4 linked regions of the Macaca fascicularis genome follow. The protein of the gene in region 4 purifies or fractionates together with the protein of the main gene of each other region. This does not show direct contact. Links are inferred from orthologs where the notes say so. Each region holds a gene or a part of one and is shown on either strand. Other genes may lie near its edges.

Region 1 (7,082 bases), about 270 kb from region 4:
CTTGGCCTCCCAAAGTCCTGGGATTACAGGCATGAGCCACCAGACCCAGCCAATAAGCACATTTAGTTTCGTTAAAGACAAACAAACAAACAAACAAAACCTGCATTGGTCTGGGCGTGGTGGCTCACACCTGCAACACGGGTAGTCTGAGTGTTAGTACAGTGGGAGGCCAAAGCGGGAGGATCACCAGGTCAGGAATTCGAGACCAGCTTGGCCAACATGGTGAAACCCCATCTCTACTAAAAATACAAAAAGCAGCCGGGCATGGTGGCGGGCGCCTGTAATCCCAGCTACTCGGGAGGCTGAGGCAGAATTGCTTGAAACCGAAAGGTGGAGGTTGCAGTGAGCCGAGATCGCGCCACTGCACTCCAGTCTGAGTGACAGAGCAAGACTCCGTCTCAAAAACAAAAACAAAAACAAAACTGCATTATCACAGACAAATGTATACTTAATGATATTCTGCTTAATCTTACTAGGCTTTGTTTTACAGAAATAGTATTATACCATACGTAGTCTTATGGGATGTACTTTCTTCATATAACATTAGATTTTGGAGATTTCTCCATGTTGTTGCCTGTAGTTCATCCATTTTCACTGCTGTACAAATACTTTCTTTTCTCTTTTTTTTTTTTTTTTTTGAGATTGAGTTTCACTTGTTGGCTATATCTCAGCTCACTGCAACCTCTGCCTCCAGCGATTCTCCTGCCTCAGCCTCCCAAGTAGCCAGGATTACAGGCACCTGCCACCACACCCAGCTAATTTTTGTATTTTTTGTAAAGACAGGGTTTCACCATGTTGGTCAGGCTGGTCTCGAACTCCTGACCTCAGGTAATCCACCCGCCTAGGCCTCCCAAAATGCTGGGATTACAGGCATGAGAAACTGTGCCCAGCCAAATATTTTCTGTTGTAAATCTATCACATTAGCCAATGAATGGTGACACAAGTTGCAACATTTTGTGAACAAGGCACACCATTTTATGAATCAAGTACTCACGTATAAGTTTCTTTGAGCACATTCCTAGGAGAGGTGTTCTCGGTTTTGTTTTTTTTTTTTTCAGACAGAGTCTCGCTCTTTTGCCCAGGCTGGAGTGCAGTGGTGCGATCTGGGCTCACTGCAACCTCTGCCTACTGAGTTCAAATGATTCTCCTGCCTCAGCCTCCGAAGTAGCTAGGATTACAGGCACCCACTACCACGCCCGGGGAAATTTTTTGTATTTTTAGTAGAGAAGGGGTTTCACCAAGTTGACCAGGCTGGTCTTGAACTCCTGACCTCGTGATTTGCCCACCTCAGCCTCCCAAAGTGCTGGGATTACAGGCGTGAGCCACTGGCCCGGCCCTTATTTTCCAGTTTTAATAGCAGGTTTTGCTAGCCCTGTGGAATGAACTGGGAAGGTCTTAATGTATTTCTAGAGAATATTGTAAATAAAGGAATTAACTATTTTGAAGTTTCAACAGACTTTGTAAAATGTTTTCCACTTTTTCCATCCTTCTGAAGGATGGATTTTTGATTATCCCTCCAAGATCTTTTGCAGATTGCTAATCTATTCAAAATGTTTATTCTTGAGTCACTTACACTAACTTATATTTTACTAGTTGTAGAAAGTAGAAAAAGAGGCCGGGCGCAGTGGCTCATGCCTGTAATCCCAGCACTTTGGGAGGCCCAGATGGGCGGATCATCTGAAGTCGGGAGTTTGAGACCAGCCTGACCAACATGGAGAAACCCCGTCTCTGCTAAAAATACAAAATTAGCCGGGTGTGGTGGCACATGCCTGTAATCCCAGCTACTAGGGAGGCTGAGGTAGGAGAATCGCTTGAACCTGGGAGGCAGAGGTTGCGGTGAGCCGAGATTGCGCCACTGCACTCCAGCCTGGGCAACAAGAGCGAAACTCCGTCTCAAAAAAAAAAAAAAAAAAAGAAAAAGAACACTGACATATATAACAGCATTTTACTTAGTATATAAATACATTAACACAATAAGGTAAATTATTTCTCTTCCAGAAAACAAAGATGGATGACTGAATCTTTATGTCTGCAAATACATTCGACTGTCCTCGCTGCTGAATATCAATCTGCTTAACACAGAAGTCTATATTCAAAATCTACATCCCTCAAAGTTTTGTCTTTTTTTTTTTTATACTTTCAAATACACTTTTTTTTTGGGTCACCTATCACCCCAGCTAGATTTTAATATTTTGTCCAATTATAGCTTACTTTTAAAGTATAATTTGCAGCAGGCACTACAGTGAGGGAACGGGGAAGGTGTGTAGACTGACTTAAAACCCTGGTTATGCTGCTTACTAATTTTGTTACCTTAGGCAAATTATTAATCTCTGGGTGCCTTGGTTTCCTCATCTGTAAAAATGAGGATAATAAAAGTTCTCATTTCATAGGTTAAATATTTAATGTAAAGTGCTCAGACCTCAAACATGAAGTCTTAGCTATATTTTTCTTCCATGTGTTCTTTTTTCCTCTCCTTTTTTGCGATGGAGTTTAGCTCTTGTTGTCCAGAATGGAGTGCAATGGTGCAATCTGGGCTCCCTGCAACCTTCGATTCCCAGGTTCAAGCGATTCTCCTGCCTCAGCCTCCAAAGTAGCTGGGATTACAGGCATGCGCCACCACGCCAGGCTAATTTTGTATTTTTAGTACAGACGGGGGTTTCACCATGTTGGTCAGGCTGGTTTCGAACTCCTGGCCTCGTGATCCGCCCGTCTGGGCCTCCCAAAGTGCTGGGATTACAGGCATGAGCCACCGCGCCCGCCCCTTCCATGTGATCTTACCAGAGCTTAAATACTACTATTCTATCTTCTCAAAGTCTCACTTCCTCACAATGGGTTGCGACTTCACTGCAATCCCCTCGCAAGATAATTCAGAAATACCTTAAAAGCCAGGCTCAACATATACTAACACTTACCCATGCTAAAAAGAATTCATACATCCCAAACCAACATTACCTCAACCACACTTCTCCAATTTCAGTTGGGTTTAAAAAAAAATACATCCAGAAAGCCCAGGTTAAAAATAAAGAGCACTCCTCTCTTAGTTAAGCAGTGAGGGAAGGCTGAAAATTCTAAGTAACTTTTAAGGATCAATAGTTTTTGACAGTTATCTTAAGAAAGCATATAAAAGATGAACACCACACTGGTAAAGATCCCTTACCTTACAGTGTTGGGAGACAGAGAACAAAGAGAGGGAGATAATATTTTCATAATGAACTGCCCATTATATTAACCTTCCCAAAGAGTCCAACTACTCATTCAGTGTTGAAGGATGTGAATTTTTACTTGCTTACTAAAATTTAGGTATCATAAGAAATATTTATTAAAATAATGTTTTAACTTGAAGCGAAGGTCACACAGCTTTAGGGAAAAATCAGAGCGATTAGGTGATTGGCTAGTGCTGATCAAGAAAAGAGCGCTAATCTACAGAACAAAGACTCTCATTTCTAATTTATTTCACTACTGAATCAAAAATGTAAAAAAACAGCAACAAAAAGACTAAGTCTTTCAGTACAAGCATCATGCCACTTCTCTCAACTTCTGTCCATCTCGTTGGGAAACGTTATGTGAACTACGCGGGAGACCCTATCGTCCCATTTCACTGTCTCTAGGGTTATTTCACTCCTTCTTCCATGATAGTGAACACACAGTGTAAAATGAAAGAGGACAACCTTCAGGCTCAGTAGCAATTCTTACTTTATCAGCCTTAGTCGGAAATCTGATTCGGAAACCTCAAGTTCCGATCCCATAAATCGCTCCTTCCTCCCAGCAACTTAAGCTGCGGTTACCGCTAAGTCCGGCTCGGCCCCAGCGACAGCGAGGCGCTGGACAGGGTATTCCAGCCTCACCCCACCTCACCTCGGCCCTTCCTCCCACGGTCCCTCCCCGCTCCGGCTGTCTTCACTTCCTACACCTCGGACGAAGCGCTCATCGCCACCCGCGATCAAAAAGGGTTTCCCTTCGGGAAAGGGGGAAATACAGGTTAATTTCTGGAAGAATCTGTGCGCCCGGCAGCCGCAAGAGGAGGGAGGAGGGAAGAGTCGGGAAAGGGGCGGGGAGCTCAGCACCATCCATCAAGACGTTAGCGCTAGGAGATCGCAAAGTCGCCTTTGGGCCTCCACTGCAGCCTAGAAATTCTCCCACGCACTCCGGGTTGAGGTGGGAATGTGGAATCCAGGCTCCCAAAGATGAGGATGACACCGGAGCTCCCGACTGCCTCGGTCCCGAGGGGGCGGGAAGCGAGAGGAACAAAGCCAGGGCCACTCATGCCCCAGGATGGCCGAGGGACCCAGGAGGCCCCCTTACCTGCCGTCAGCAGCTGCATGGCGTGAGTGAAGGACGGGTCGAGCGAGTCCTTCTCGGCCATGAGTTCTGGCAGGTACTTGTTCTCCGGCTCCATCTTCACGGAGGCTGTGGCCGAGGGGGGCAGCAGCGGGGTCGGCGCTGGCCCGCCCACTGTCGCGTCGGGACCCGTGGCCGAGGGCGGCAGCAGCGGTGGCGGCTGCGTAGCGGGCGAGGCCCGGGCGCCCCCGCGGGACCCCCCTCCGCCTCCCCGGGACCGGTGAGGCAGCGGCGGCTGCCGAGACGGCGTCTGACGCACCGAGGGGTGGGCACCGGAGGGGTCCATGGAGCCGCTGCGGCCCGAGGACCGGCTCATGCGCGCGGCGGGGTCGTCCCGGCGCTGCATCGGGGAGGATGTGCGAAACCAAGGAGCGAGAGAGCGACGCGGCAGCGACGGAGGCCCAAGCGGCGGTTGGCGGGGGTGGGAGAGCGGGAGCAGTAGCGACCGAAGCCGACCCGAGCGACCCAGCGAGAGAGAGCACCGGAAATGAGGCGGCGCGCGTGCGCAGCCAGTCACCGGCACCGCCCTTGGGTTTCTCCGCGGAGAACAAAGTCCCCAGTCCGGCCACGGCGCCTGCGCACCGCCGCGGCGTCCGAAGAAGTCGCCTCCTGACTCTGGCTTTCCCTCCGCGCCCGCCAGGCCAGAGCTTGACGCGCATGCGCGGGAGGCCGCAGGCTCCGTTCGTTTCCTTTTCCACGTGACTCGGCGCTAGCGGGACACGTGTCTCCTCCCTCTTCTGGCCTACTGCGTGGAGGGGGCGGGAGCTGTGGAATGTCTTTGTCTGCGCGCGGGCCCGCGGAGTGTGGGGCGGGAGACCTGTTACTCGCGGGGCCACGCCCTCTCCAACGGCTGAGCAGCGGAGGGAGGCTGTGGGGAGTGGGGTGGGGAGTGGGGTGGGGATGGAAGTGGGGTGGGGGGCGGTCACCGAAGTAAGGAAATAAAAGGAGACTGCCGTGAGGGACACGGAAAGGGGAGGGAGAGAGAATTGAGACCGCCGGGGGAGGAAGACAGGAGGGAGAAAGGAAGGCTAAGGGAGAGTCCGATGCAGGAGGGGAAGTTGGGGAAGGGAAACCTGGAGGGAGAAATTGAGAAAGGACGGCTCGGTGGAAACTCTGAAGGCTACTGGAGGACATGAGCTAAGAGGGATGGCTCGGATCAGAGATCTGAAGTCTAGCAAAGAAAAGGGCCCCAGACATAGGGAACACAAGAAGTCGTTTCCAGTGTATGTATTTCCAGTATTAGATCTCTTCCAGTCGGTTCTAAAACGGTTGCCGTTGTTGGTCAGGGAAATCTTAAGCAGCATTTTAGCTCTTTTTATATATTTTACTGCTTTCTCTGAATTGTGTTTTGTTTTGCCGTTGTCATTGCCAATTAAGTGATTCTTCTGCCAAAAAGTGGAGTAGAGACCAGATCCTTAATCCACGTTGCTTGCATCATTAGGGTGGCTCCTTCTACCACTCCAGACTTGCTCAAAGAGACCCTTGCCACTACTCTCAAAGGCCAGATGGCCAGTCTCCCACGGCGTTCTCCACATCCTGGAGTGCTATATGCAGGTGGAGCGTTAGGTCCCTACTTGTCCCATAAACCATCAAAAGCTTAGTGCTGTCTCTAACTTTTCGTTCCCTCCACAGATTTTTTTCTTCTTCCATTTAAAGCACTCACTCCCATCTCTTTTTCTTCTGGATCAGTTCTCCTAATGAGCCCACACTTTTCAAAAGTCTTTGGGGCCTCGTGCGGTGGCTTATGCCTGTAATCCCAGCACTTTGGGAGGCCTAGATGGGAGGATTACTTGAGGCTAGGAGTTCGAGAGCAGTCTGGACAATGTAATGAGACCTCATCTCTAACAATAAAAAAGTTTCCACCGGGTTCGGTGGCTCACGCCTGTGATCTCAGCACTTTGGGAGGCCGAGGTGGGCGAATCACCTGAGGCCAGGTGGAGACCAGCCTGGCCAACATGGTGAAACCCCGTCTCTACTAAAAATATAAAAATTAACGGGGTGTGATGGTGCGTGCCTGTAATCCCAGTTACTTGGGAGGCTGAGGCAGGAGAATTGCTCGAACCAGGGAGGCGGAGGCAGCAGTGAGCCGAGATCGCGCCACTGCACTCCAACCTGGGCAACAGAGCGAGACTCCGTTCAAAAAACCAAAAAACAAACAAAAAAAACAAGGAAAAAAAGTTTCTTCGGAAATTGTCTTCTGAGTGCCTGGAAACTGTTGATTTTTGGATGTGAAACTTAGAACCCTTTAACTAGAGAACCTAAAGGCCTTCTTGGGTTAAGGGAGGGGATTTACCAAGTCACCCACAGAAATGAAAACAAAACACACATATCCACATAAATTATATATATGTAATATAAAATATAGGCCGGCTGCGGTGGCTCATGTCTGTAATCCAAGCACTTTGGGAGGCTGAGGTGGGCGGATCACCTGAAGTGAGGAGTTCGAGACCAGCGTGACCAACATGGCAAAACCCTGCCTCTACTAAAAATGCAGAAACTAGCCGGGGGTGGTGGCGGGCGCCTGTAATCCCAGCTACTCGGGAGGCTGAGGCAGGAGAATCGCTTGAACCCGGGAGGCGGAGGCTGCAGTGAGCCGAGATCACACTACTGCACTCCAGCCTGGGTGACAGAGGGAGACTCCTCCTCACAAAAAAAAAAAAAAAAAAAGTATATATACATTTACTTTGAGGTTCCAAGAAGTGACTCTTGTCCTCAGTCAAGTAGGAAAAAAAATATTTTTGAGT
Region 2 (7,105 bases), about 98 Mb from region 4:
AGTTGCATGTGTAGAAAAACAGAACTCTTGACCCTGCCCCCCTGCCCAGACATGTTCCTCCTAGAACTTTCCTCGTCTCAGTCAATGACAAGTCCATCTTTTCACACTCCTCATCCAATCCTGCAAAAACCCAGCAGCTCCACCTTCTAAGGAGACCCAGCCTCCGCCCTCCTCACGCCTCCTGGAGGCAGCCACCTCTGCTACCCTGACCCAGGCTGCCATCATTTCATGTGAAATATTGCCTCTCCCGAAACTTGCCAGGCCATGTCACCCCTCAGCTTGTAACTCTCCAATGCCATCTTGTCTCGCTCAGAATAAAACTCCAAATGCATACAAGAGTCTACAGGGCCCCCCTCCCTCACCCCTCTGATCTCATCTCCTACTTCTCTATCCTTCAGTCACTGGATCCACCCATGCTAGCTTCCTCTCTGCTCCCATCATTCCTCAGACACAGCAAGTCTCCTCCTGCCTCAGGGCCTTTGCACCTGCTGTGCCCGCTGCCGAGAATGCTTTTCCTCCAGTTGTCTGCATGGCTCTTCTATTTCATACAGGCCTCTATTCAGATGTCCACTTACCAGAGTGACCTTCCCTGACACCCTGTGTAGAACAGCCCCAACCCTGTCACTCTTCAACAATATTTCACATGAAATGATGGCAGCCTGGGCCAGGGTAGCAGAGGTGGGTGCCTCCAGGAGGCATGAGGGCTGGAGGCTGGGTCTGCCTAGAAGGTGGAGCTGCTGGTGGAGCTGTTTGGTTTTCTTGTCAGTGTGTACTTATCATTACTAGACAGACTCTGTCTTCTTCGCTTGTTTTCTGTATTACTCACTTGTCTGCCTCCTCCTTCTAGAATGGAAGCTCTTGAAGGCAGAGATATTCCAGTCCTTTAAGTTCACTGCTATTTTTCCAGTGCCCAGAAGGTTGCGTGGCACCCAGTGGTCCCTCAGCACTGCCTGAACTTGTGCACCACTGCCTGCTAGGCTAAACGGTACCCTGTATTTCCTTCTGAATCACATTCTCCACACTGGATTTCTATTACTTGTCCATTTTTACTGCTGGAAAGTAGGCTTTGTGAGTTTGAGACCCATCTGTCTGTCTTGTTCATGGGTCTATTCTCAGGGCCTGCCAGCAGTTGGTAGGCCCTAAGTACTCCGTAAATATCTCTTATATTAAAAACAAATGACTTCTAGGCTGGGCGCAGTGGCTCATGCCTGTAATCCCAGCTACTCAGGGGTCCCATTCAGGAGACCCCTGCATCCTCCCCTGGCCTCATCCTGGAAGGGCAGTCTGCAGGGGCTGCTACTGCAGCAACAGGGATGGGAAAGTAGTTGGACTTCCAGATTTCAGAAGTCAAAACTGAAAATACCAGATGGAAAACACCAGCATTCGAAGCCTTAGGGACAGAAGGATAATGGGGCCTGGAGAGGGGAAGCTGACTCAGGAGGCTGAGGCGGGAGAATCACTTGAACCCGGGAGGTGGAGTTTGCAGGGAGAAAAGATCGCGCCACTGCACTCTAGCCTGCGAGACAGATCGACACTCTGTCTAAAACAAAACAAAACAAAACAAAAAACCCCAAATGACTCTGTGTGCCCCTGGTCTCTCCTTGCCCCTCTGTCTCCGTGTGGCTGGGCTTGTCTCTTAAGGAGGGACCCCCCAGCACTCATATTTCTCGAAGGGCCTGCCACCCTCTCACGAAGATGAAGATGCCTGGATAAGGGAGGCATGCCCGGGTGGTGTTTTGGGATGAGAAAGTGCCTGGTGCCGCGTCTTGCGCCTGGGCTCTGAGTCGGGGGGCGGGGAGGGGGCGCTGGCCTGAGACCCTGGGCTCTCTGGTCAGGGCCCGGGGCGCGTACCTGGCGGGCGAGCGGCTCGGTGAGCGTCTCCCCGTAGGGGCTGAGCGGGTGCGCCGTGTAGTGCCGCAGCAGGTCCTGCAGCCGTTCGTGGGCGCTGTCCTCGCCCAGCACCACGTGGCGCCCGTCCCCGAGCTGGGCCAGCAGGAAGTGGCGGCAGCAAGTCCGGCTCCTGGAGGGCGCCGTTAGGGATCAGACTATCTCCCACTCCTCGGCCAGGGCCACCAGCGCGAGGCGCGACCCCCACTTTCAGCAGCCCGGGAACTGAGCTAAAACCTCGGCTCCTCCTGGGATCAGACCCAAGCCCCGCCCCTCCCGAGCCCCGCCTTCGGTCGCCCGGCGCGGGGCCTCGCCCCTCACCTGTAAGTCAGCACGAAGGTCACCGCGCTCTCGCTGAACCGCACCAAGTAGCATCCCTGAGGCTTGGGCTCCAGCAGCCTCTCTGCCTCCCTGTGGGTGACGGAGAGAGGGGGCCGAAACCTGCTCTGACACTTCCAGCCTCGCCTCTGTCTCCCCAGCTCTCACGAGGAACCCTTACCCCCAAGCAAGCATGCTGGAGCGGCTAGAGAAAGGCTAGGGTTGAGATGGGGAGAGAGAGCATGTGGGAGCTGTTCTCCCGCTGCAGGGACTAGGGGTGGACAGGGGCCAGGGGTCCCATTCAGGAGACCCCCCGCTTCCTCCCCTGGCCTCATCCTGGAAGGGCAGCCTGTAGGGGCTGCTACTGCAGCAACAGAGATGGGAAAGTAGTTGGACTTCCAGATTTCCGAAGTCAAAACTGAACTGAGGAGGTGAACAAAGAGATAGGGAGAAATGAGGCTGAGAAATGGAGGAGGGAGGATCTGCAAGGGTGGAAGAAAAGAGGCCTGGGAGATAAAGATGGAGTAAGCCTGGAGGGAGAGAGAGGTGGAAAATACCAGCATTTGAGGCCTTAGGGACAGGAGGATAATGGGGCCTAGAGAGAGGAAGCTGAGGCACAGAGAGGCCTGGACTGGAGCCTCTCCAATGATCTCCCCTGGAGAGATGCCTCAGTGAAAGGCCTAGAAAACTCTGGGAGTGGGAGCCTGGAGTGGGCACCTCCATCTGCTCCAGACTGGTAGAAGTGGGAGCCTTCATCTATTCCTGGCAGGTGGCAGGACCCAGACCCAGGACTTGCCCTGCCCCTGTCTGGGCCAATTTCCTCCTCCATGACTCACCTCCGGGTGATGAAGCCATGGAACCAGGCAGGGGCTGCCCCATGCTGCAGGAGCCAGTGGGCCTGGGTCTTCTGGAACCAAGCCCGGGTCTCCGCCTGCAGGGACAGGCTTCCTTCTCCAGGCACCTCCTCTGCCCTCTCAGCATTCCCTGGGATGGAGGCAGCCTCCAGGGCCTGGGGAGATGCCTGGATCAGGGAAGAGTTCAAGGAGGGGGAAGCAGCATGATGGGTGGGCCTTCTCCTGACTTTGATCCACCTGCCACCTTCTTTTCCTCATACCCAGCCTCTCCTGTCTATTTTAGGGTACAATTGCCCAGAAAGTCCTTCCTAAAGTCTAACTTAAATCCCTTCTTCAGCTCCAGCTGTTCTGGCTTCCAGAGACTCTCCTTCCTCTGCCCTCTGGGTCCTGAGGGCTTTTAATCCAGCAGCAGTGAGCTGTCACACTGTGCTCCAGGAGGGACGGGAAAGGCAGCACAGCCTTCCAGATGGATAGAGTCATTCCCTGGCCTGGAGGATGAAGGAACATGATGCCGGAAGTCACGCTAAAGGCCAGAATGAGGGAGGGCTTACTCCACAATATGAGGGACTGAGCTAGTTCACAGAGAAAATTCTTGAGTGGGCGGGAGGGAAGGGCTGAGACGTGGAATGCACCGGGTGAATGAAGGTCACTGACACAGAGGGCAGATGCCTGCTTCTGGGACTCAATGCGCTGCATCCTGGTCACCTGCGGACTCTGCCTGAGCTTCCGGAGGGCCTAGGAGCAGCACGGGAGTGAGTGGGCAACTCAGTGCATGAAGGAGGTACTCCCCATTTTCGTTCTCTCCCTCTGTGCCCCAGCCCGTTGGCAGACCCGGATCATTCCTGCCTTCTCTCGGGGTGGCCTTTGTCCATCTGCAAATCCTTCCCCATGGGAGGGTGGGAGAGATGAGGGAGCTGCACCCCGCTGCCGCCCCAGGTTTCTACCCACCGCAGTGTAGCCCAGGTTCCGGCAGCTCCTGTGGGTCATGTCCGTGATCTGGAAGGTGCTGAAGGTTGGGATGGGGGCTTCGTGACTCCCTGTGAGCACAAAGAGGGCTGTCGGGGTTTCTCAGAGTGGGACTGTATCTATCTCTGCCTCCCACCCCTCCTCCCAGGTTCAGGGATCTGTAGGGCTGGGACAGTCTTAATGACAGGAAAAACGCAGAAGGGCAGCAGGGGAGTTTCTCAGGCATGAGGATAAGTAGCCAAGGGGGCGTGAGGGGGGCTAATGCTGCCAGAGGAGGTTGTCAGGGACACCAGGTGCCTAGAAGGAGAAGATGGGAGCCAGGCTGGCCTTCGGATGGCCAGGGAGGCAGATCACTTCAGGGCAGGCCCTTCTTCTGGTCCAGGATCTTCTGCCTCCTCCTCCCTTCATCCTCCTGCTCCCTCCTCTCTCCTCTCTGAGAAGCGCTCAAAAAACCCTGTCACCTTTATCCTCAGGGATGAGTGGGCACGGAGCCCCAGGCGGGGTTGTGGTCGCCCTGCCTCTCAGCCTTGCCAGCTCTGGCTTAGAGTGGGGCCCCTCATCCCTGAAGTGGGAGCTCAAGCCCAGGAGGGAGGGCAGGGGGATGGGGGTCTTGGTGCCCCCTCCCACCCATATCCTTCAACTTCACACTTACCTTGGGGACATATCTGGGCCAGGGGGAACTCCATGGGGGCAGCCTGACAAGGGATCCCAGAGCAGGGTGTGTGTATGTGCTCTGGAAAGGTGTGCACACTCAGCAACTCTTCATCTCTCCTTTCACCCTGGCCCCAGGGGCAGGAAATGTCGCCTTACCCACAGCCTTAGTTCTGGCAGAGGACCCACGTCATGGAAAGCCTTAAGACGATTGTCCCACCCCCGGAAGCCACGCAGCTGTAGATAGTGGTGGTATAGCGGTGGGGGGTATCTGTGTCACTCTGTGTTTAGGTGTTAGGAAGTCCTTACTGCTACCTGACCTTCATCCCTCCAGATTCTTTCTCTGCTCCCTCACCCCAAACTAGAACTTCCCTTTCTCTCTCTCTCATCTCTCTTGACTTCTATTTCTTTCTCTCTGAAAAATCTCCCACTCTGCCTCTTGGCCTATTCTGAGCAGTGGGAATGGGGATGTCAGCCTCAAGGATAAGCCACACAAGGTGCTTATGGGTCATGCTTTGAGGAGACATGAGGAAGGGAGGGGGCAGGGCTGCAACAGGAAGGATGTGGGTTAGACTTCTGGAAGGACTTTTTGAGGACATATGAAATCTATGAGTCGCCGGGCGCGGTGGCTCACGCCTGTAATCCTAGCACTTTGGGAGGCCGAGGCGGGCGGATCACAAGGTCAGGAGATCGAGACCACGGTGAAACCCCGTCTCTACTAAAAAAATACAAAAAAATTAGCCGGGCGTGGTAGTGGGCGCCTGTAGTCCCAGCTACTCAGGAGGCTGAGGCAGGAGAATGGCGTGAACCCGGGAGGCGGAGCTTGCAGTGAGCCGAGATCGCGCCACTGTACTCCAGCCCGGGGGACACAGCGAGACTCCGTCTCAAAAAAAAAAAAAAAAAAAAAGAAATCTATGAGTCTGGGCATGGTATCTCACGCCTGTAATCCCAGTACTTTGGGGGGCTCAGGCGAGAGGATCGCTTAAGCCCAGGAGTTCATGATCAGCCCTGGGCAACACAGTGAGACCCCATCTCTATTTTTAAAAATTAATAATAAAAAAAGAAATTTATGAGACAAGGGGTTAGAGAGGAGGGGGACTGGATTCCATCATTCAGCAGATAATGGAACTGAGTTAGGGAAAAACCAGGCAATCCTGGAGGAAGGAAGGAGAATTCCTCCAGCTAAGCTGGTCATCATTAGTATCAACACTATCAGCAGTTGCTGTTAATAACCTCACTGTTGATGTCTTTTTTTTTTTTTTTTTTTTTTAGACGGAGTCTAGCAGGACTACAGTGACACAATCTCAGCTCACTGCAACTTCCACCTCCCAGGTTCAAGGGATTCTTGTGCCTCAGCCTCCCGAGTGGCTAGGATTACAGGCTTGCACCACCAAGGTTGTACCACCAATCACCAGGCTGATTTTTGTATTTTTAGTAGAGACAGTGTTTCACCATGTTGGCCAGGCTGGTCTTGAACTCCTGACCTCAAGTGATCCACCCACCTTGACCTCCACAGGCGTGAGCCACTGCATTGGCTGGTGCTGATGTCTTAAACTTTCAATGTGCTTAGACTTCCCACCATACCAAAGGACCAACCCCATTTCTCTCTGAATTGATCTTCACAAACTAAGAAGGGGACAGGAACATTATCCCCATTTACCAGAAGCTCAGAGGAGTGTCTTGGCCAGGGCCTTTCAGTGGCTAAGAAGTTGGTATGAATGCTGGGACTAGAAGCTAGACTTCCTTTCACTAATTTCACTGTGATTTAGGCCAAAGGTTCATGACTATGTGCTGTGCACTGTTCTTGGTACTGAGAACTCAGAGAGGAAAAAAACTTTTGTCTCAAGATGTCAGGTGGGGGAGATGTACTTGCCAAGACTTACTGTTTTTCAAAAAATTATGTACTGTTTTCTTACTTTTAAAAACGTGTTCTAAATTTTTAATAGTTTTTGGGGTTCAGTTGGGTTTTGGTTACACGGATAAGTTATCTGGTGGTGATTTCTGAGATTTTAATGCACCTGTCACCCAAGCAGTGTACACTGTCCCCAATATGTAGTCTTTTACTCTTCACCCAACCTTCCCCCCAAGTCCCCAAATTCCCTTATATCACTCTCATGCCTTCGTGTCCTCATAGCTTAGCTCCCACTTATAAGTGAGAACATACGATATTTGGTTTTCCATTCCTGAGTTACTCCACTTAGAATAATGGCCTCCAGCTCCAACCAAGTTGCTGCAAAAGACATTGTTTCGTTCCTTTTTATGGCTGAGTAGTACTCCATGATGCAGATACACCACATTTTCTTTATCCACTCTTTGGTTGATGGGCACTTAGGTTGGTTTCATATCTTTGCAATTGCAAATTGTGCTGCTATAAACATGTGTGTGCATGTGTCTTTTTTATAGAAGGACTTCTTTTCCTTTGAATAGAC
Region 3 (7,266 bases), on a different chromosome or scaffold from region 4:
CTCGATCATGCGGAAGTTGTTGACAGGCTTGTCTCCCACTGTGAACTCCACCCTGAGCAAGGGAAGGAAGCAGGGCTGAGTCTGTCCTTGAAGTCAGCTAGCCAGCCAGGCTCAGGACAGGCCACCCCTACAAGAGGCTGAGAAGGGCCCCCTCACACCCTCTCCCTCACCCCCACCACCACCCCCAGCCCAGCGACTCACGTGGCTCCCACCTGCCTCAGGCGGAGGAAGGCAGGTGTGAACTGGTAGCGGACAAAGCGCCCAGCATTGGGGTCCAGGTCCCGCCGGTTGATGGGCAACCGCTCTGCAATGTACCCCAACTGGGGCTCAGTGGGCTTCAGGCTGGGCCCTTGTCCACCCAGGGTTCCACCCCTGGGCCTCTATCTATCTGATTTTGTAAAAACTCCCCAAGAAATTCTGGGGCACATTGAGGGTTCAGACCATTGGCCAGATAGTGCCACCTAGCGGTTCTAGATCTGCAGGTTCCCAATTGCCACTGTGGTTCCGGGGCCACAGGATGCTGAGGCCTGGGACCCATAGGACTGCAGTTCCCAGAGAGCCCTGCAGAGGGCAGGCTGGCAGGGACCGAAGGGGCAGGGCTGACCTCACAAGATGTCCAGCCTCAGAAACATATGGGAAGGAAAAGAAAGGGCCCCCTTGCCTGCAGACTCCTGAGAATGCTGGGGTCCAAGCCCCACCTCTGTGGACTCCTCTGTGGCCCAAGGAGTCCCTGGGCAGCCCACTCCGCAGCTCATATCTGCCTCGCCATCAATGGCCCACCCAGCCCACTCACCTGAGGCTGGGGGCTTCTTGATTTCAAAGAGGACAGTGCCTGAGTCCATGTCCCGAATCTTAAACCTGACGAAGTCGATCTTGTAGATATTCTCCTCAGGGGAGCACAGGTAGTCTACGGGAGACAGGCAGCTGAGCAAGGAAGGGGCCCCAAAGCCCCTGCTGCCAGGTCAGCTTGTGTGGGACCCCAGAGTAGCTACCATCTTCTCATCCCTGGGATCACTACCCTCTGGAAAGAGGGACCTGAACCCCTGCCCTTGGAGTACACCCCCAGTGTGGAAGAGACATAACTCCACCATGGGGATCTAACAGGGGATAAGGCGTGCCATCCTGGTGGCCTCTGGGGGCCAGGGAAGGGAAGGGCAGAGAAGGGTAGAGGACAAGGCCACCTCCCGGACGCTCTCCCTCCCACCCTGGAGTTGAGGGTCCTCATTCTGGCCTCTGCTCTGCCAAGGCTGGCTAGGTGACTTTGGGAGAATTGGGTCTCCAGCATGGTGGGAGCCTCTCCTCTCATATGGGAACAACTTCCTGCAGTCTGACCTGTCTCTTCTACTGCAAACTCAATCTATCAACTTCTCTGTTACCCTGCCTTTGAGAACCACACTGTAAAGGGGGCCACACAGCTCTGTCTTGGGAGAGTCACAGTCCTTCTCTGGAGGATACTCCTACCCTCGCCCCACAGCTGCCCCTGGCATGACATCTAGATGTATCAGGTGAGGCTGATGTTGAGGGGACTTTCCCTGATATGGGTGGTGCTGGGGCAGGTGAACAACCCCTTCCCTGTTCCTCCTCCCCTCCCAACCCCCTCCTCTCAGTAAGAAGCTTACACCAGCCCAGCTCCCTTAAGCAGCTTAACCAAAGCTCTGCTGACTCAAGCCCAGAGCCTGGGATATGGCAGGGGGTGGAGGCCAACTTTGCTCTTATCCTTTGTTGATCTCCAAATGGGAGGAAGTCTTAGCAAGCAGAGGGAACCCCCTTAGAGGTCATTTAGGCAGCCCTGGCTCTGAGCCACCACCATGGAGAAAGTAGTCCCGGACCCCTATAGAGAAGAACACAGGCTAGGCCAGGAAGCGAGTGTGGCAGGTGCAGCAGCGGGTGTGGAAGGGCTAAAGGGAGTCCTCGGGCCCACAAGGGGAACCAAGAACAGTGGGAGGCCCTGCCTGAGGAAGCTCAGGGACCTACAGGGCCCGATCTAACCCTCACAGCTCTTGCAGCAGCAACTTCAGGTGTTCAGGGAGACCCTGGCAACAAAGATAGCTGAGAGGTGCAGGGAGGGACTCTGATGCTGTCAGCCTACACAGCATCACATCCTCCCCTGGTGGCCCACAGAGGCCTGGAAATCACCCTCCAGGCCCCTGGGCCACCTATTCCTCTGGGGCAGGAAGAGGAAGTGAATATAAAGTCATTTTCTCTTCCCCAGGCCTGCTTCTTCCCCAAGCCTGACACAGTCCCCTCCAGGAAGCCCTCCTGGCAGCCGTCTGGTACCTGGGGCCCGGCATGGACTTTATACAGCTTGGGGAAGAGTCTACTACAGCCCACGTGTGGGGTGGGGAGAGATTGGAAGTGGGCAACCTCTATCTCACGCCATTCACCCTATTTTCACAGAAAGTAAGCACCAGTATAAAGACATAGAAAGAAGGTACAGAGCATAGGGAATAGAGTGGCAGAGTGGGGAGCAGGATCCCAGTGCCCAACTCCCAGATCCCTGTAAGGCCTTCTCTTCTCCCATTCTCCAACTTTTGGAGCCTCTCTCATTTGGGAACAGCTTTCTGCAGTCTGACCTCAGTCTCTTCTACTGCAAACTCAATCTATCAACCTCTCTGTCCTTAGAAGAAGTGAGGAACAGGGATGTCTATGGCTCAGAACACCATGGCCACTCCTTCCCTTCTAGAAAGGATGAGGCCTGGGACCCAGGGTCAGGTCAGAATAAGGAGCAGAGTGGCCAAGGGCTCAGAACACAACTGCTCTATTCCTCTCAGCCACAAATAGCTTCCTAAGCTGGATTCAGGGCCCAGTAATCTGGGAACAGCAAACCTCGGACCTGCGTGATTAGGGTCAGAAGAGACCAGCAAGAGGTGCCAGGGTGGAAATCCCTGGAACCCTGTTCTCAACTCCTGCACAGGAAGGGGTTCCCATGAAGCCCTTTCCTCTACTCACCCTCCACAGATTCCCCATCTCTAAGGGCTATGAATTGCCTCCAAATTAGGAGACAAATGGTGGTACATGAGCTGGAAGCTCCCTCTACTTGCAAAATCAACCCCCCAAGTTACTCAGGGCTCAATCTGACCTCTGGACTTCCTCTGAGACAGTTCTGCCCCAGAGCTAAGCTGAATCCTAAATGCTGCTGTTGCAAATTGTAGCCCAACTGGCTTCAACATCAGCCTGGTCCAGCCTCCCTCCCTCCATCGACGCCTGCTTGGGCAAGGGAGCTCAGTACTCTGGGGGCCCAGCCAAGAATGGCTGCTGCCTAACTCAGTAAGGATAGAGGAGTTGGCCCCCAGGGACCCAGGAGCACAGGCTCAAGGCTGCCTCCCCTCCACAGCTCTGTCTGGGAGCCCTGTGTTCAGCTGCTTTGGAAGCTCTAGGGCTCAGGTCCACTCCAATATATGCACCCCATACCCACAGAGAGGCCCCCCAACAATTATTCTCACAAAGGGGGCCAGGGCAGGTTGCTGGTGAATGTGGCCAAGGTGGAGAGCCACTGTCTCTTCATCCTTTGAGGCTCAGCCAAGGCCTCTGCTATGAGGTTTCCTAGCCCTCATTCCCTGCCTATGATGACCCCCTCCCCTGCCCTGAAAGCCAAGTTGTTTGACCCCAGGCAGCAGCCATGAGCAGCCCTGTAGGGCCCCAAATACTACTGATCAAAGAGCCCAATGTACACAGAATGCATAGATGCCAGGCACTGTACAGAATCAGAGGACTTATCTTCACAATAACCTTACGAGACAGATACCATTATCCCCATTTTACAGATGAAAAGACATGCTGAGAGGTCAGGTTACTTGCCCAAGTTCACACAGCCAATTATATGCAAAGTTGGAACTCCAGCCCAGGCAGTCCAGCTCAGAAACTCTTAACCACAGTGGAGACCAAGCCTCCCTTGATGACAGAGCCCCTAGAATAGGACAGGCGCTAGTCCAGGCTTGGGGGGACGTTAAGCCACTCCCCATGAGAAGGAACCACAGTCAACACTCTGAAGCTGCCTGCTCAGTTTCTTTCCTGGGGAAGAAAATGGCCCAAGTATTCCTGGAGGATCAGGGTGAGGGTATTAATGGTTGGGGAGACATGAAGAGTCTGAATGCCTCCGAAGTAACTCAGCCTCCACCTAGCCTCCAGGGTGGGGGCTGAGGACAAGCTGCACTCAGCCCCTCTCCTCATTAGTGCAGGGGCGGGCCTCAAAGCGCTCTGAAGACTCCACAGAGGCAGGGCTACAGTTGCAGCTGCTGCCGCACGCACCTCCACGCTGGGAAAAGGGGACGGACCCCCGGAAAAGGAAGGAATAAATCTTGAAAGGGAGAAGAAAAGCGCACAGAGAGAGAGATCAAGGGAAGGGGGTACACAGAGATCTCAGGCTTGGTGGCAGAAGGGAGAGTAGGGGACACAGGAGAGGGAGACTCGGTGGGGGAGGGGAGGCGGGAAAGGGGGCGGGGGCTGGGGCTCGGTGCGCCGGGAGGGCCCCTCGCACCCTCTGCCCTTCCCGCCAGCGGGAGGCGCTCCCTCGCGGGTGCTCACCACCCGTGATCCGCTGCAGCCCCAGCACGTCCTCCGGCCCGATCGGCTGCTTCCTCTGCAGCGGCCCCGGCCTGGGCCCTGGGCCTGCGTCCGGCTCCGACTCGGACCCAGATTCAGATTCCACTGGCGGCTCTGGTATGGGGGCCACGCTCGGGCCCGAGGGCCCGGGAGCGGGCTCCGCCCCCGTCCCGGCCCCACCGCCGCCCTTCTTCACCTTCATGGCCTCGCCGGGCCGCGGCTCGCCTGCTGCTGCCGCCGCTGCCTGCGCCGGCTGGAGCCGGAGGAAGGGGGAGCGTCCACAGCCCCGCCCCCGGCCGGGGCTCCAGGTACCGCCCCGCCCCGGCCCCGCCCCTGGGGTGGGCCCTGCGCTGATCCCGCCCGCCCCGCGGCCCACCCCTGCCGAAAGGCCACGGACGTGGGGGATGGGAGTCGGGGGCTCCTGCCCTGGGCTTCATTCTGTTTTTCTAACACTTTCTTGTACTGGTACTAGTGGGGTCCTGACTACCTCTCCGCTTACTCACTGTGTTCCAGCCTTTCTGCTCGTGAGTTCCAGGCTCAGGGTCTCTGCTTGGATGCTCTTCCCCAGATGGCCTTTTTTCTCCTAGTCACAGCTCAAATGTCATCTGCTCAAAGTTGCCTCCCCCACACCCAGTCTGAAGTCCTTCCCCCTCAGTCACCATCTGACCAGCCTGTTTTTGTCTTTCCAATGCATTATGTGAAATTATTTTTATTTGTCTGCTCTTCCTCATGAAAGCTCAGCTCTGTGAAAGCACTGATCCTGCCTACTTTGTTCTCAGTAGGACCCCAGCACCTGGCAGAAGGCTCCCTGCAGCTGGTGCTCAAGATATATATATAGGGCCGGGCGCGGTGGCTCAAGCCTGTAATCCCAGCACTTTGGGAGGCCGAGACGGGCGGATCACGAGGTCAGGAGATCGAGACCATCCTGGCTAACACGGTGAAACCCCGTCTCTACTAAAAATACAAAAAACTAGCCGGGCGAAGGTGGCGGGCGCCTGTAGTCCCAGCTACTCGGGAGGCTGAGGCAGGAGAATGGCGTAAACCTGGGAGGCAGAGTTTGCAGTGAGCTGAGATCCGGCCACTGCACTCCAGCGTGGACGACAGAGCGAGACTCCGTCTCAAAAAAAAAAAAAAAAAATATATATATATATATATATTTTTTTTTTTACCTGATGAATTAGTATCTCAGGTAAAAAGCAGATGCTAACAGCCTTGGGCAATCCAGCTAGGAAAGGCACATGGCCACGTGGAAGCAAAGTGGACCTGTGGGCACAGGAGGACAAACACCAGGAAACTGTTACTTACCAGTGAATGCAGAAAGAGTAGAGCTCAGACTTTGTATCATTCCAATTCATATTCAGCCAGTGTTTATTAAGAGCCTAATATACACTAGACACGTTACATGCTGATCACATTTAATCCTCACAACCACCTTGTAAGGGAGACATCATCAGTGCCATTTGAATGAATGAAAAACTGAGGCTCAGAGATATTCAACAGCTTATCCAAAGCTCTCCAGACAATAAGTGCAAAAACAAGGATTTGAATTCAGGACTCTTTGATTCCAAATCTGGAACCTTCCGGAACCTCTGACTCACACACACACACACCCCCCCAACACCACGTCCTGAGCTGCTGCCTCCTGGACTTCCACCAGACTGTACCTGACAGACAAAGCTAGCTAGGAGGGAGGGGAGTGAGGGAGAAGGTCCCAGAGGTGACCAATGCCTGACCCCTTCATGACGGCAGGGACTAGGGCTCTCCCACAGGGGTTAGAGAGAAGAGTGGAAGGGAGGGACTTTCCCATAATGCTCCCTCCTCTCAGTGCATGAGTGTGCTATGTTGAGAAATAGGGCAAAAGAACAAACAGTCCATGCCACAGAGGGAGACAGGGAGCAGCCTTATCAAACAAGATAAGGAGACCCGGATGATGTGCCTTTTGGGGCCCCTGGTGGTGGAGGAGGACTGAGCCAGGGGAACGGGAAAGGAAGAAAAGATGAACCCATCTTGGAGTGTTGTACTTTGGTTGCTGGAAAGCCAATAGTGGAGACTGGAGACAAATATTTAAGTCATTCCGGCAGGCCCCATGTACGTGCCTCTCAATCTAACACCGCCCACCTTGGCCAAAAAGGAAGGCTTCCTGTGGAGGAGCTGCCCTGCTCAGTCTGTCTTCTCAGGCTTTTTCCAGGACTTGTGGGTCTCCAGGAAGATCTTGACCAGGGACAGGAGGATGGGCACAGCCATAGGCAGGAAGAGTGGGATGTAGATGGCAAATTTCTGGTCATCAGGGAAATAAAGGAGGTGGAGGAGTGACGGGTCAAAAAAGGCACACTCAGAGGACGTCACAGCTTCCTGGCTGGCGACAAAGGCAGATGCCAGGTGCCCAGAGGCCAACTCTTCTGCTGACTTCTGGACTGCAGCTACAGCCCTGTATACCTAGGAAGCAGAAGGGACAAGAGGGTATACCAGTAAGTCCCAGGCATTGGTGGAAAGGGTGCTGGGCCTTACTGTGCTTTCCATCTATCGAGGAAGATGCCTGGAGTTCATCCAGGATCTATGGAAGTCTGTCTAAAGGGATATGGTTTATTTTCCTAGGGTCAGCTTGAAACCTCGCACTGTCATCTGCACTCCTGCTGGGGGGCTGGTACTGCTGTCTAGAGGAAGGCTGGGACACTAAAGATGAAGAGTGTGGTGAGACCAGAGAGCCTGTGAAGTCCACACCGT
Region 4 (6,478 bases):
CTTGGGAGTCTGAGGCATGAGAACCCAGGAGGAGGAGGTTGAAGTGAGCTGAGATCGTGCCGCTGCACTCCAGCCTGGAGGACAGAGTGAGACAAAAAAAAAAAAAAGATACACATGACATAATCTATTTGCGATTTCCCATTAGCCAATGAACAGCTTGTTTCTCTTCCTGAAAGAAGGATAGATCTTACACTCCCAAAGAATCAGAGCCAGATAACAGCGACAAACCTATTGATCAGTTACTATATAGTAGCCATAGTTTTGTGGTTTTTTTGTGTTTTGTTTTTTTGAGACAAGGTCTCACTCTGTTACCCAGGTTGGAGTGCAGTGGTGCAATCACAGCTCAGTGCAGCCTCAACCTCCTGGGCTCAAGTGGTCCTCCCACTTCAGCCTCCCAAGTAGCTGGGACTACAGGCATACACCACCACGCTCGGCTAATTTTTACAAATTTTTTGTAGGAATGAGGTCTCGCTATGTTGCACGGACTGGTCTTGAACTTCTGGGCTCAAGTGATCCACCCACCTTGGCCTCCCAAAGTGCTGAGGTTATAGGCTTGAGCCACTACACCTGGAAGTAGGCATAGTCCTTTTTTTTTTTTTTTTTTTTGAGACCAAGTGTCACTCTATCGCCCAGGCAGGAGTGCAGTGGTGCGATCTTGGCTCACTGTAAACTCTGCCTCCTGGGTTCACGTCATTCTCCTGCCTCAGCCTCCTGAGCAGCTGGGACTACAAGTGCCCGCCACCGCGCAGGCTAATTTTTTTTATTTTTAGTAGAGATGGGGTTTTACTGTGTTAGCCAGGATGGTCTCGATCTCCTGACCTTATGATCCGCCCACCTTGGCCTCCCAAAGTGTTGGGATTACAGGCGTGAGCCACTGGACCCGGCCTAAAGTAGGCATAGTTCTAACTGCTATATATGCATTAATTATTTCATCCTCACAAGACCCTATGAGGAGGTTACTAATGCATTATTATAGTAGGAAACCATGACAGAAAGAGGTGATGTAATTATCACAAAGCCATAAAATCATGAAGCCAGACTTCTGACCCAGGCAGTCAGACGCTAGAGGCCTTGATGAATACTCTGTATTAATTCTGGTGAGCCCATTTAGATTTCTGCTGTTATTCTTGAGGAAACTGAGCACCAGAGACAGTGCAGGCACTTGGCCTGTCACACAGCAAATCGGTGTGAACAAAGCTGAGGCTAGAAACTCGTATTCCTCTTCCTGGGGCTCTCACTCTGTCCAGTATCAGACCAAGAAGGGTGCGGGGTGGGGGGGCTCACTCAGAACTGAAAAAGAGGGCTTCCGGGGCAGATCTGCCCTCCCAAAGCTCAGGGGCAGAAGGGAGAGAAACAGGGGTAGGGACCCATTCGCTTTCTGAGATCAAGCATCCTGAGATCAAGGTAGGGCTTTGAAGAAGGTAAACAGAATGGCAGGTCAGGGCAGGTTGGGGTGAATGCTCTTCCAGAACATTCTTGCTACCTTAGGCTCGCCCCCAGACAGGATCAGAGGATATACCTTTTTCACATGCCTGGAGGTGAGTCTTTTTTTTTTTTTCTTTTTTTTTTTTTCTTGAGATGGAGTCTTGCTCAGTCGCCCAGGCTGGAGTGCAGTGGCGCGATCTCGGCTCACTGCAAGCTCCGCCTCCCGGGTTCACGCCATTCTCCTGCCTCAGCCTCCTGAGTAGCTGGGACTACAGGTGCCCACCACCACGCCTGGTTAATTTTTTGTATTTTTTAGTAGAGACGGGATTTCACCGTGTTAGCCAGGATGGTCTCGATCTCCTGACCTGGTGATCCGCCCGTCTCAGCCTCCCAAAGTGCTGGGATTACAGCTGTGAGCCACTGCACCCGGCCTTTTTTTTTTTTTTTTTTTTTTTTTTTTGAGACAGAGCTCTGTCACCCAGGCTGGAGTTCAGTAGCATGATCTTGGTTCACTGCAATTGCAACCTCATCCTCCCAGATTAAAGGGATTCTCCTGCCTCAGCCTTCTGAGCAGCTGGGATTACAGGCATGCGCCACCACACCTGGCTAATTTTTGTATTTTTAGTAGAGACGGGGTTTCACCATGTTGGTCAGGCTGGTCTCGAACTCCTGACCTCGTGATCTGCTGGCCTCAGCCTCCCAAAGTGCTGGGATTACAGGCCTGAGCCACTGCGCCCAGCTGGAGGTGAGTCTTTAGGGGCCAGGAAAGCTCAATAAACCCTCCTTGCTTGAGCTTTGGGCCAGAAAAAAAGGTGTACTTTCACCCTCCGGCAGGGACAGCGGGGAGAGCAGTGTCCCCCGGCAGCCGACTCGGGCGGCACCCACCATTCTCCATGTATTCAGTGATGATGTAGATGGGCTCCTGGGTGACCACAGCGTAGAGCCGAACCAGCCGCTGGTGTTGCAGCTGCTTCATGAGGTTGGCCTCGGCCAGGAAGGCGTCTGGGGACATGCTACCCTGCTTCAAGCTCTTCACTGCCACCTTTGTGTGCCCGTTGTAGTACCCTGGATCGGGGAAGGGAAGGAGTGGGAGAGTCGCCAGGCAGCTGTCCTGGGACTCTCACCACCTCAGCAGCCCCTCCCGTTCCCCTCTTCCCGGGCAGTCCTGGAGGCCACACTCACCCATCCACACCTCCCCGAACTGTCCAGCCCCCAGCCGCTCCACCAGCTTCAGCGTCTCCCTGGGAACCTCCCACTCGTCCTCCCACCATGGCTTCTGGGGCTTCTGGGTCTGGCAGGGGCGGCTCAGCCGTGTGCACAGCCCATCTGAAGCATCTGCGAGGACAAGGGAGGGGTGAAGACTGTCAATATGGCAGGCCTCGTATTGACACCACTTCCCCCACTTCTCCAAGCTCCTATCTAGGTGAAGTGGACTAGCAGGGGGGTGTGGGGCTGTCACCCAAACACTTGGGTCCGTAGGGTCAAGTTCCACACCTCACCCACTGCGGGGAATGGAGGAGCGCATTGAAAGATGGATGGGGGACACCCGAGGGGGACTGAGGGGAGATAGGCTGATAGGGCACGGGGGAGGGGTCCTGCCGGGCTCACTGGTGTAATGGCGGACCAGTTCATGCAGGCCGGGAAAAGTGATTCGGGGGGAGATGTAGAAGCCACCGTTGTCCAGATTACGGATTTTGTAATGTTTCACCACCTCTCCCTGGTTCTGGTCGAAGTCCCGGACCGACAGTGAAAACGATCCTGAATGAATGAATGGATGGACAAAGGGACTAAAGAACGCAGTGAGTCTGGCCCGCCACCGCGCCCCCCTCGGGCTCACCCCGCGTCCCCACCTCGGGCTCACCCTGCGCTCCCCCTCGGACTCACCCCGTGTCCCCATCGGGCTCACTCCGCGTCCCCACCTCGACCTCACCCTGCGCTCCCCCTCGGACTCACCCCGCGTCCCCATCGGGCTCACTCCGCGTCCCCACCTCGGGCTCACCCTGTGCTTCCCCTCGGACTCACCCCGCGCCCCCCTCGGGCTCATCCCGCGCCCCCACCTCGGGCACACCCTGCGGCACCCCCGCGCCCGGTCGAGACCACTGCCCGCTCACCCGCGGTGCTCTCGCTCTCCCGGATGAGGAAGGAGCCGTGAGTGTTCCCGGGCGCCAGGAGCTGCCGCTCCGCGTCCTTGCGGCTCAGGTTCTTGAAGAACCAGCTGTGCACGGCGGAAGCGAACGAAGGCTGTCGTCGGATATTCCTCCGTGGCCCTCAAGCCTTCACCGCCACCCCAGGCCCACTCCCTGCTCCAGGATCCCTAGATCTGCTCCCGCTCACCCCCACGACGGGTCCCCACTTACGGTTCGGGCTCCAGGCTGTTCGCCTTGGCCACAAAATTGAAGGGGATGAAGCCTTCCTGGCCTGTGGTCAGGGACTGCGCCTTCCACCACTCGCCGCTCCTGCGCCACGGAGGCGGATCAGTGTGGCTAGCTCAGCCGTCGACCTGAGACCCTCCCTCAAAGACCCCTCCACCCCTTAAGCCAGCCTCGCCGAACCCTGGCTCAGCAGTCCTGAGCCTTGAATTTTGTCCCAAGGGCGGCCACCCCAACCGGTGGCCTCAGGAGGGCTGCGGTCCCGGAGATCGCGCTCCCTCACGGACTCCTCCAGAGCAAGGTGGAGAGGGACTCACTGCTCCAGGATGCGGAGCTGCTCCCCCTTCTCAAAGCCCAGGTCTCCGTCGTGAGAGGGCTCATAGCTGTGCAGGGCGATAACCAGGTTGTCTGTAAAAACAAGGGGCATCAGGGAGAACCGGGCTGGGATGGGCAGAAAGCCTGGAGTTACAGGGCGGGGGACAAGGAAGGCAGGACCGGGGAGAGAGTAGGTGGGGGTGAGGTGGAAGCCAACAGCCAGGGATCGGCAGGCCTTGTCTTTCAGGCCCTGCTGCCTGGGGTCACCTTGCAGTGGGGAGGCCGGCGGATTGGAGCCTTCGTAGGTGACCAGTGGGTCCCGCACCTCAGAGCCATTTCTGATGAGCAGCTGTGGAGTAGGGGATGAGGGTGGGGTCAGAAAGCAGAAGACTGGGTTAGACTCTGGCCCCCTTCCCCCCTGCCCTGCTCTCAGTCTCTCCAGCCTGGTTGGGTGTATCCCTGAGTCTACCAGCTACTTGCTGTGTGATCTTAGGAGAGTCATTTCTTTCTCCTGGGTTGCATGCTCTACCCAACTCCCTCACCAAGGCCCCTGTCTCGCCTCTTACCGTGCCCTTGCCATCCAGTGGGACTATGGGATAATGGCAGTTCTCACACACATCGATGTTTTCCATCCAGTCATCTTCCGGGTGTGAGCTGCAGCCACAGCCCATGGTCCCTGAGGGAATGGAGAGGGGGCTGAAGGGGCTCCCCCAAGATCTGCTCCCCAACATCAGACATCATGGGGCCTTGCCCTGGAAAGTTCCAAAAGTACCTGAGATTGTGAGATCTTGGGATCTCCATTCACCAGCCACAGAAAAGCTAAAAGAGGGGGTCCCAGCTCCAAACCGTTGCTCCCTCTGAGCCCTCAGGCTGCAAGTAAATTCACACACGGCCCCTGAGCTCTAGCCCCACCCTCCCACCTGGGATGGGCAAACCGCCACAGGCACCTTTGTTAGTCTAGTTACCCACTTCCTGCCTCTGCCCCCTCCCTCTCCCTCTGCCGGCACCCTGTGTTGGGAGGACCACCTCCTAGAGATGACACACACTTTCCCAAGCCTGGGGGAGACCTGACTTATCAGACCCTCCCCTACTGGAGAGGTGTGCACGCCCCACCTACTATTATAATTCCCCTGTCTAGCTGAGGAGGCTGAGAAAGAGGCTTCTGCTCCCTAAGTCCACCATCAGGACCCCGCTGTTCCTCTCACATAGCCCCACAGTCACCTCACAGGGTTCCTTCAAACACAGGCGTGCTTCTCCCCAGCAGAAAACCCTCCAGTCAGTCTGTTGGCCATAACTTTTTTTTGTCGCTTATTTGCCTGTGTTAGCACTGGAAATTTTTTGTCTGATGAAATCAAGCAGAACTCCATAGATAAAGCGATAAGTGTGTGGGCCTGTTTTGTCTGAAGCAGAATGGGGCCCTCACTTTGAAGCCCCCGGAGTCCCTGCAGCTCCTCCTTGTCTAGGGCTGCTCCTCAGAGCGGTTGGAAAGCGCTGTCCTCAAATAAAGTTTGATGTACCGTGCATTCCAGAACTTCAAGATCAAATCCACCTTCGCAGTCCATTCTGCTACACACACACTCTCTCACACACACACACTCACACACACCCTATATATACACACACCCTACACACACACACACAGAGGCACCCCCATCCCACCTCCACAGAGGCATCCACACACACTTTCACATACACACACACTCACCCCTCACAGGTACCCCCCCACACTCACACACAGACTCACCCTCCCACACACAGGCACCCACACTCACACTCAATAAACACATACTCTCACCCCCCAAAAGTGCCCCCCCACACACACAGGCACCCACCCTCACACACACACATTCACACACACACTCTACACATATTCCCCACACACACAGGCACCCACACCCACAAACACACACTCATCCACACACCCACACAGTCACACCCACAAACACACCCACATACACACACACACACAGGCACCCACACCCACACACATGACCCCCACACACACATTCATACACACACACAGGCACCTCCACATACCCACACCCATGCACACACCCACACACTCACCCCCACATACACTCACACACATGCACAGGCATCTCCTCCATACATACCCCCACACACCCACACTCACACACACAAACACACCCACACACAGGCACCCCCACACACACCTCCACACACAGCCTGTGTTCTGAACTATTCTTGCCTTTCCCAGACACCCCATGCTATTTTCTTTTTTTTCTTTTTTTTTTTGAGATGGAGTCTCACCGTGTCGCCCAGGCTGGAGTGCAGTGGCCGGATCTCAGCTCACTGCAAGCTCCACCTCCCGGGTTTACGCCATTCTCCTGCCTCAGCCTCCCGAGTAG

Evidence for each region. Proteins that work in one complex are often made in the same cells at the same time.
Region 1: the proteins of LCK (region 4) and KHDRBS1 purify together in Homo sapiens (affinity purification with western blotting; 5 studies listed by BioGRID and IntAct, with this or other methods). This does not show direct contact. The link is inferred for Macaca fascicularis from reciprocal best matches to the Homo sapiens genes LCK and KHDRBS1.
Region 2: the proteins of LCK (region 4) and SH2D2A purify together in Homo sapiens (co-immunoprecipitation; 3 studies listed by IntAct, with this or other methods). This does not show direct contact. The link is inferred for Macaca fascicularis from reciprocal best matches to the Homo sapiens genes LCK and SH2D2A.
Region 3: the proteins of LCK (region 4) and UNC119 purify together in Homo sapiens (affinity purification with western blotting; 3 studies listed by BioGRID and IntAct, with this or other methods). This does not show direct contact. The link is inferred for Macaca fascicularis from reciprocal best matches to the Homo sapiens genes LCK and UNC119.

The regions. Positions count from the first base shown.
Region 1 is NC_088375.1:203,014,161-203,021,242, forward strand, and holds the start of KHDRBS1 (KH domain-containing, RNA-binding, signal transduction-associated protein 1), read right to left. Parts: upstream 4,819-7,082; 5' UTR 4,685-4,818; coding exon 4,303-4,684; intron 1-4,302. UniProt on the Homo sapiens protein: Recruited and tyrosine phosphorylated by several receptor systems, for example the T-cell, leptin and insulin receptors. Once phosphorylated, functions as an adapter protein in signal transduction cascades by binding to SH2 and SH3 domain-containing proteins.
Region 2 is NC_088375.1:104,258,273-104,265,377, reverse strand, and holds the start of SH2D2A (SH2 domain-containing protein 2A), read right to left. Parts: upstream 4,819-7,105; 5' UTR 4,712-4,818; coding exon 4,678-4,711; intron 4,097-4,677; coding exon 4,008-4,096; intron 3,227-4,007; coding exon 3,042-3,226; intron 2,299-3,041; coding exon 2,209-2,298; intron 2,021-2,208; coding exon 1,852-2,020; intron 1-1,851. UniProt on the Homo sapiens protein: Could be a T-cell-specific adapter protein involved in the control of T-cell activation. May play a role in the CD4-p56-LCK-dependent signal transduction pathway. Could also play an important role in normal and pathological angiogenesis.
Region 3 is NC_088390.1:34,014,288-34,021,553, forward strand, and holds the start of UNC119 (protein unc-119 homolog A), read right to left. Parts: upstream 4,819-7,266; 5' UTR 4,745-4,818; coding exon 4,525-4,744; intron 908-4,524; coding exon 794-907; intron 305-793; coding exon 202-304; intron 53-201; coding exon 1-52. Other genes in the region: PIGS (GPI transamidase component PIG-S), read right to left, coding at 6,703-6,978. UniProt on the Homo sapiens protein: Involved in synaptic functions in photoreceptor cells, the signal transduction in immune cells as a Src family kinase activator, endosome recycling, the uptake of bacteria and endocytosis, protein trafficking in sensory neurons and as lipid-binding chaperone with specificity for a diverse subset of myristoylated proteins.
Region 4 is NC_088375.1:202,749,123-202,755,600, forward strand, and holds part of LCK (tyrosine-protein kinase Lck), read right to left. Parts: intron 4,969-6,478; exon of another isoform or gene 4,911-4,968; coding exon of another isoform or gene 4,882-4,910; exon of another isoform or gene 4,862-4,881; 5' UTR 4,841-4,861; coding exon 4,676-4,840; intron 4,459-4,675; coding exon 4,112-4,458; intron 3,882-4,111; coding exon 3,783-3,881; intron 3,641-3,782; coding exon 3,537-3,640; intron 3,184-3,536; coding exon 3,034-3,183; intron 2,761-3,033; coding exon 2,608-2,760; intron 2,491-2,607; coding exon 2,311-2,490; intron 1-2,310. UniProt on the Homo sapiens protein: Non-receptor tyrosine-protein kinase that plays an essential role in the selection and maturation of developing T-cells in the thymus and in the function of mature T-cells. Plays a key role in T-cell antigen receptor (TCR)-linked signal transduction pathways.